2 linked regions of the Coturnix japonica genome follow. The protein of the gene in region 2 interacts with the protein of the main gene of each other region in a pairwise test. Links are inferred from orthologs where the notes say so. Each region holds a gene or a part of one and is shown on either strand. Other genes may lie near its edges. The genes, in order: RALYL and RBM41.

Region 1 (3,811 bases), on a different chromosome or scaffold from region 2:
GGGCTAAACCAAACAAAAAGAAAAGACAGAAATACACAAATATTCAAGATAAAGTTCTAGAAAATGAAGTGCTACATCTTTATATGTATATATATATATATAGTTTGGAATTCAAACGAGCAGTATCATGTGGGAATAACTTCAACCTGAGATTTCTGTAGTAAAAATATCGAAATGAATAATTACAGTTTGATTTGGTACGATTTCAAGGCCTAACAAAACTCATTCTTTTGCTTCTATCTAAAATCTTGCACAACACTGGGCTAGATGTTATTTTAGATTCATTAAAGGCAAAACAGCCACACCTATTAGTCAATTCTAACCATATCACATTTAATTTACTAACAGAGATTAAGAGAAAACACTTATAAATTCTTCACCCAATTAGTCATATTCACTGCAGTGAGTTCACATAGAGAATTATCAACACCCAAAACAAAACTAAGTATCTAGGCAGTGCACAGTACATCTAAAATTCTGCCAAACCCAACATACTAAAAATACACTTATAGGGAACAACGGTAAAACAAACTCACTAATCTCCAAGGCAACAGCAGCAGATGATGCAGAAAGGAAAGAGAAAACAGTATTTAAATGACGTGAGCAAGCACTTACCTAGTGGCTGCCCTGCGATGATCCTGGCATTCTCTCCTGCCACTGCTGCCCTGGCATGTCTCTCACTCATGTACTGTACAAATGCATAACCTTTGTGTACAGAGCAGCCAACTATTTTCCCATACTTTGCAAAGATTGCTTCTATGTCACCTTTTTTGACAATGGCTGTGTTCAGATTGCCAATGAAGACTCTAGAGTTGATGGACTTTGGGTCATTCTTATTGGTGACATTGCTGGTCTGTGTTTTGCCGGTCATGGCTGGATCACTTGGCTGTAACCCTTAAAGAAAGAACAAAGAGAATTATGTTTTATAATATGCAGTTACTCCTGGTCTGTTGATTTTTCCAGCAATAATTCACTTTTTCATTTTTTACTTAAGTTTTATCTAGACTCAGAAGAGTTGTATATTCTAAAAAATGATTATCAACAAAACCTAAGTAATACATATTAAAATCTTGATAATAAACCAAATTATACCTTCTCATTTTATAGATATAATATACAGCAATACATTTCTTAACATAATGCTCTGATAGTGGAGCTCTGCAGTAATCATATGTGGATTTGTGCTTGGAAATTCAATATTGACTTTTTAAGTACCTAGTCATCTAGAAATGACAAAGCAAGAGAATGAGTCATTATCTTATATCAAAGAAATGAACATCCAAGGCCGCATGCAGAGCAAACTCAAACAATGAATGGCTACTCTGCTTTTGTTCTCTGCTTTTGTTTGGTAAGTGTTAGCCAGAGCACATTTCTCACCAGTTAAATATCATTGTCTATCATGAGGAGAGTAGGACCAGTAACATATAATTCTTTATTGCAATCAATAAGTTTCCATTGGAACAATTTTCCCTATTAATACAGTGAGGGGAAAAAAAGAAGAAAAAAAAAAAAAAAGAGAGAGAGAGAGAAAGACAGGGTAAGCACAACTGGTTTACATGTCTAAAATTAAAAAAAAAAAAAAAAAAAAAAAAAGAACAAATTGCCTTAATTACATGAATAATTTTGGTTGCTGTTTTACTTTTCTTTCTGACGTAACAAAACCATGCGGGTCCTACCATTTCTCTAATGGAAAAAGCTACAGTATTCTTGGGGAAATGTTTTCTAAATAAGAAAGAACACTTTTTGTGCTCATCTAGCCCCCGTCTTTTGAAGTGCATTTGATTTTGTTGGCATGTATGTAAATTCCACCTGCCAGGTGGTCCTTCCATTTAAATCAATTTACTTAGAAGTGAAATTACCCCATGCTAGGTTTTCTTCAGTTATAATTGATAACAGACATGTCAAAAATGCACACCTTGTAAGAGTGAAGACTTATTTTTTAAGAAGGAGGCCATTCAAACAGCAGACAAATATAGTCCATCTCTTACAGCTAAGATTTATGTTACTATTTTTTAAATTGTTCTTACTTTTGATTATATCGCAGTAACAGTTCAGGCAAGAAGAGAGACCAGTTAAATACTTCTCACAGTTAAAGCTCAGTTCTTTTCACAAGATGAAAACGAATAATAAACTCTATTCTGGACACCCAGAGCTTGACATTAACTTGAAGAAATTTCACATTTAAAATCAATAACTACCAAACGTTAAGCCAGACTGAATCAAAAAGAAGCCATTGTTACTGAACTCCACACAATTTCTAGTGAACAAAACATCTGTAGTCATAGCTATCTGTACTTTGATTGTCTCCAAAACACATGATTTAAACCCCACTCTTTTGTGTAAGAACACACTATGGAGATATGTGGGCAATTCTCCAGAGTTCTAGAAAATGCTTTTTGAAAAGAGAACATGCAACTGAGGCTATAAAAGTCAAATACCATTTACTTCTGTAAACTCTTAATATAATATTTTACTTTATATTAGAACATTCAGAGAAATCACTGTATAACCAAAATAAGTTTTCTTGTAAATTTAACAATTTGAAATACATTCTGGAAATACAAGATATACTGCGTACATGCACAGACTTAAACATAGAAAACCAGGAAAACTACCTTGACAAAAAATGCCTGAACTTTTGAATATACATATATATATATATATATTATACCACTAGCTATGCATTTTCACCACTGATGAACAAGAGCCTGCATGCCATGCTTGTAGAAGTCACAGAGGTGGTGGCCACTGTTGACATGACTAAACATATCACCCACTGTTTCACCGTGCTCACATCCACTATTTTGGTCTCCATGAATGTTCAGCATTCAAAGATAAAAACTGCAGCAGTCAAGTATGAGGGATTCCTTTTTCACCAGCTATACCCTGACATTGCAAAAAAATACACCAGTGTGTTATGCACAAGCCAAGTCTTTTGGGAAAATCTCTCATGGGTAGCACTGCGTGTGTTTATGCAGACCTGGCAAATAAAGGTGTTATCATTATATTACTCATAACTGTGTTATTGTTCTCTGTGCACATTTATCAAGTCACAGAGAAAATGTCTGGCTTTTGGTCTCAAAAGCTTGGCTTGTAGTTCTTTTTCTTCCACTAACATGCTATATGACACTCAGTGAATCACTGTTTTATACTTTTCTTGCCACTTTTCAGAATTCAAACTTGAATTTTTGTCTAAAAGAGCTCTTTACATGTATTTTTATAAAGCTCCTAATACAAAGATGTCATGATCTCAGCTGAGACTTCTGGGCACAACTAATACAATGATGATACAAATGAAAAGGGAAAAAAAATCTAAAGAAAATCATCTGCCTTTCCAAAACTGCATGGAAATTATAAACAAAGAATCTCTTTAATTATTGCCATCACAACTGTTTTCAAAACACCAGAGAACTAAACTCTGTAGTTCCTCTATTGTTTCAACATTTTAAATAGAACTTACTAAACTATTCATTTTCATTTCCTAAAAATTCTCATTTTATTTTGCCTACTAATTTAAATTGAATTTGAACAGTATGTTGAATGCTCCTTCAGTAATTTTTCTTTGCAATGCAAATTCATAGCTTTTTTTTTTTTTTTTTTTTTTTTTTTACTTTTATTTAACACAAAGAAAGGTAGTTTTCTGGTGGGTTCTCTTATATGCAAATGTGCAAATGTGCTGCAAAAATTCAAAGGGTAATGCTATGGGTGAGAATAATATTAACATGTGAATAATTTAGATCTGATTGCATTGTGTGTCTACATACAATACTACCGTGAATATTTTATCAAAATCAAAGATACATGTGATCTT
Region 2 (4,311 bases):
TTCCCATGAGGTGCCCTCAGGGGTGTCCTACAGCAGCGGGGTGATAACGATCTGTTCTAGGAACAGGCGTGCAAAGTGGTGCTTAACTTGTCTGACTTGTTCAAGCATTAAGTGGAACAGGGGGGACTTCAGTTAAACGAATGCTGCTTGTTCAGCTTTGCTTACACTGACACGAATAGACTTGCTGAGCACACGCTGCTGATGTTCCATCCCCACGGTGGCCTCCCTGGCAGCAGAGCTGGGATAACGCCTTGTTCCCAGCTGCTTTCTCCTCCTGATTGAAGCAGGAGTGTTTCTTTGTTCCAGCAGAGCTCTGAGTTGAGCAGCAGAATCAGGCTGCTGTTTTATGCCGGTTCTGCACGGTGGCTTTTTGCAAGCTGACAAGCAAATGTGTTGCTTAATGTGTTACTGGAAGGTTCTGGGTTTGGCACGCTTTGCAGGATTAAAACTTCAGCTGGAGTATCTCCAAACCACAGAGTGACATCACGCATCTATAATATGATTGGAAGTCATCTGTAGCTCCTCCGTCTCGTTGCACTTTTTACTATACTTGCAGTTCAAAGCTTGTTGTGGCTGTTATCCTGCAGGACAACGCTCCCACCAGATGGGTTAACCTGGAAGCTGCATAATTCCCAACGGCTGGAGTGTGATGTGAGGCGGGCAGGGAAATGCCTCCAGAAGGCGGCTGCTTTCTGCAGGGCTGCAGCTCTGGTGCAGGCTTTGCTCTGCTCTCTGCTGCCGTGCCTGGGAACTGCACTGAGTGCCTGCAGAGCTGTGCTGGGATGCGCAGTGCCATCTGTGAGGCCAGCAGGGCTCTGCCTTGGGATTCTGTCTGTGTTGGAACGGGCGGGTGTTTGCTCGCAGGCTGGGGCTGAGTGTGACCTGTTCTCTCCCCATCCCTCAGCTCTGCTGCAGAGGAAGGTGGAGGAGGTGACCAAGGTTTGTGAGAGCCGCCGCAAGGAGCAGGAGCGCAGCTTTCGGATCACCTTTGATTGAAGGACTCCCAGTTCACAACGCTTACCTCACAGCCCCATAGAGGAGAGGTTGGCGGGGACCTGCTCGGCATCTTTTGTTTTGTGTATGTTCCTTCTTTAATTGCAATAAATGTCTTTTTGCTGAAGTTACTCTTTGTGGCGGTGGAGGCTCCTCCTGCTGCACACACACACAACTGCTGCCCCAGGCTCAGCACTTTGTGCAAGCTGGATACTTGCAATCACAGCTCCGTGTTAGCTGGGTCCTTACAGAAGAGGGTTGACAGATGTGAGGAGTCTGATAGCCTCAGCTTCCCACCACGGCCATGTGGGCTTTAATGAGGGGTTAATGAGTTGTGCCTCTAACATCCCGCTTGTAACGCTGTGCGAGCGCTGCGGCACTTCGTCCTCCCCGCCGCCAGGGGGCGCTCGCTCCGCCGCCATCGCCGCGGGTGCTGCTGAGAGTTGGATCCCGGTTGGAGGCCGCGGCCATGCGGAGGTGAGCGGGGGGCTCCGGGGGGGCGGGGGCTGCAGGGCCGAGCGCTGAGCGGTGCTTCGTGCCGAGCAGGGTGAGCAGCAGCGTGTGCAGCGATGAGGTGCTGCTGGAGGAGCTGGAGACGGAGGGGGAGCGGCAGCTGAAGAGCCTCCTGCAGCAGCAGCTGGACACCAACGCCTCCATCGAGCGGTGGGTCCCGGCCGGGGGATGGGGGTGCTGATGGTGCGGCAGCCCCGCTCAGCTCCCGGCGGTCGTTCCGCTCTCGGTGCAGGTGTAAGTCGAAGCGGAGGTGCTTCGCTCCGGCCGCGTTCTACCGGCCCTTCGGGGAGGCGGCGGCCGGGGCTCTGAGCCTGTCCCAGTTCCGAGAGCTGCAGGAGAGCGACAGAGAGACCGCGGCGCTGCGGGACCTGGGGCTGTCCGACCCCGAGATCGAGCTATGGAGGAACCGCGCTGCGGGGAAGGTGAGGCCGCTCCGCTGTGTGACAGCCCCATAAACACCGGCCGGATGCGGAGCCGCCTCCTCTCGGCTCTCGGCCGCCCCACGCGGCGGGGCCCGTTTGACGGCGGCCCCTTGGTTGCAGCGCTCCGGGCTGGGGGCGGCCCCCGAAGCCGTGCGGGAGCGACTCGATGCCATCCAGCAGAAGATGGACGAGAGGCAGCGCATCCTGCAGCTGCCGCAGAGGTTTGCTGGCAGCAAACAGCTGAGCAGGAGGGAGATGGAGATCGAGAACGCTCTATTCCAGGGGACGGACCGGCATTCCTTCCTGCGGGCACTGTACCACCAAGGTGTGCTCCCAGCCCTTCTGCCCTTGGGGCTGTTTAACAGAGCAGGGATCCCACTGCGACCTGCAGGGATGGGGTTGAGCCCTGAGGTGCAGAGCGGCCCCTTTGCTGGTGGGGGACAAGTGCACCGTCACACCGTGTCTCTCTGTTGTGGATTAGATGACACCCCAAGGGTCACAGATGAGAAGGACCCCATGGGTCACCTGGACAGCGTTTACCAAGAGGTGCTGGGCAAGCAGCCGCCTGCAGGGGACCAACCAAGCACGAGTGCTGTGTGCTCCCTGCCTGCCCCAGCCCTGCAGGGCTCTGACCATGAGGACTCATCACCTCCTGACCAGCCAGGCCAGGCAGGGAGCCCCAGCCCTCCATCAAAGCTCCAGCAGCCCCCTCCAGGGCCTGTGACTATAAAGGAGCCTGTGGAGTTCATCCCAGAGGAGGAGATCTGCAGGAACCGGCTCTCTGAGGAAGAGCTCCGCAACATACCTCGCTTTTCTTCCTACCGTCCTGGGGAGCCCAACAAGGTACATGGAGATGAACCACGCTTTGTCCATCTTCCAGCCAGGAAAGGCTCTTTGCTCCTGCCTGGCAGCTGCGTGGAGGTGCCAGCTCCTGCGTGCGTGGGGGACTCCGTGCTGGTAGCAGAGCTGAGCTGGCTCCTATATGTGAGGTGTAAGGGCTGGCAGTGGGTTTATGTACACCCGTTAGCCGGGCACAGGCCGGCTGACCCCAGTGCCTCCACAACAGGTGCTGTATGTGAAGAACTTGGCCCCTCGTGTGACCATGCAGGACCTGGTGTCGCTGTTTGCCCGGTTCCAGCAGGACAGCACACCCATCCAGTTCCGCCTGCTGAGCGGCCGCATGCGGGGCCAGGCCTTCATCACCTTCCCTGGTGAGCTCAGCCTCCTGCCTGGCCCTTCCTCCTATCTCCCCTTCATCTCTGCTCACATTTTCTGTGTGCTGGGGGAGGACTCATCCAAACGTGCTGCTGGGTTTCCTGCATGCTGCTTTCTTGGGCTGGGGGCTGCAGCGCTGCGTCACGGTGTGCATTGAGAACCATTCTGCTCTCTCCTTGCAGATGTTCAGTCAGCTCAGGACGCGATGCTGTTGGTGAACGGGTACAAACTGCATGGGAAGCCCATGGTGATTGAATTTGGGAAAAGCAAAGTGCCATCAACAGAGGCTGAGGCTGCTGCTCCCTCCTGCTCTGCTGGAGCACCGCCTGCTGCCACGTAAGGGCTGGAGGAGCTCGTGGACTTGAACAGGCCCTGAGCTGGCCTTGCTGAGGACTGGTGGGAGCTGAGTGCAGCTCTGTGCAGCTGCAGGGCAGGGTGAGGGCTGACCGCAGCCTCAAGGTGCTGAGGAAGCACAGCTCTCCTCTGTGCTGCTGGTACATGAGGCTCTTCAGGGGGGCTGGTGCTGGGTGCTCCTCATGCACTGTTCTCACACTGCCGTTGGGGTGCTCCACCTGTCTGTGTTATCAACCCCTTGTGGCGAGGAAGAGGGGAAGCTGTGTGAACAGATGTGCTGATATCGTGTATTTCTGGATCTTTATTTGCACGTCAGTGTGCTCCTTTGAGAGAAAAGGGACTCGTGTGCAAGGAAGCATCATTTTTCACACTTGAATGTTTTAAAGCATCAGCATCGTTTGCCTTAAGGTGGTGCTTTGGGTGCAGAAGTTGCTGGGGCTCTGATATACTGGAGGTTGTCTGCTCTCACTGGCTGAGCTGCAGCCACTGTTCAGCACAGGAGCTCTGTGTCCAGCAAAAATAACCCAAGATTCTATTTATGTGTATTATCAGTTATTTCTTTCATGCTTCCCTTCCCCCCCATTTTGCATTTTTCCCCCAGAACAACTTGCAGGAACTGAAAACCCTTCCCCCTGCCCCAACCCACTGCAGGGTGCAGGTAAAGCAGAGAGGAGACAATGGGGAGGAGAAGGGGTTGGAGAGGTAAAGCAGAAACCTCCCACCTTTACCTAGTCCCACCTTGTCCAGCAGTGCTGAGGCTTGGAAAGAGCTTATAATGTTCTGCAATGAGCCATAAGCTCAGTTATGCCTGACA

What was found.
Region 1: the proteins of RBM41 (region 2) and RALYL interact in binary tests that used the Homo sapiens proteins (3 or more experiments, as listed by UniProt). The two-hybrid records come from large-scale screens. The link is inferred for Coturnix japonica from reciprocal best matches to the Homo sapiens genes RBM41 and RALYL.

What each region holds. Positions count from the first base shown.
Region 1 is NC_029517.1:110,838,407-110,842,217, reverse strand, and holds part of RALYL (RNA-binding Raly-like protein), read right to left. Parts: intron 895-3,811; 5' UTR 872-894; coding exon 616-871; intron 1-615.
Region 2 is NC_029519.1:1,848,106-1,852,416, reverse strand, and holds RBM41 (RNA-binding protein 41), read left to right. Parts: upstream 1-1,215; 5' UTR 1,216-1,462; coding exon 1,463-1,470; intron 1,471-1,539; coding exon 1,540-1,656; intron 1,657-1,738; coding exon 1,739-1,928; intron 1,929-2,048; coding exon 2,049-2,253; intron 2,254-2,409; coding exon 2,410-2,771; intron 2,772-2,994; coding exon 2,995-3,139; intron 3,140-3,325; coding exon 3,326-3,483; 3' UTR 3,484-4,032; downstream 4,033-4,311. Other genes in the region: NUP62CL (nucleoporin-62 C-terminal-like protein), read left to right, coding at 905-996. UniProt on the Homo sapiens protein: May bind RNA.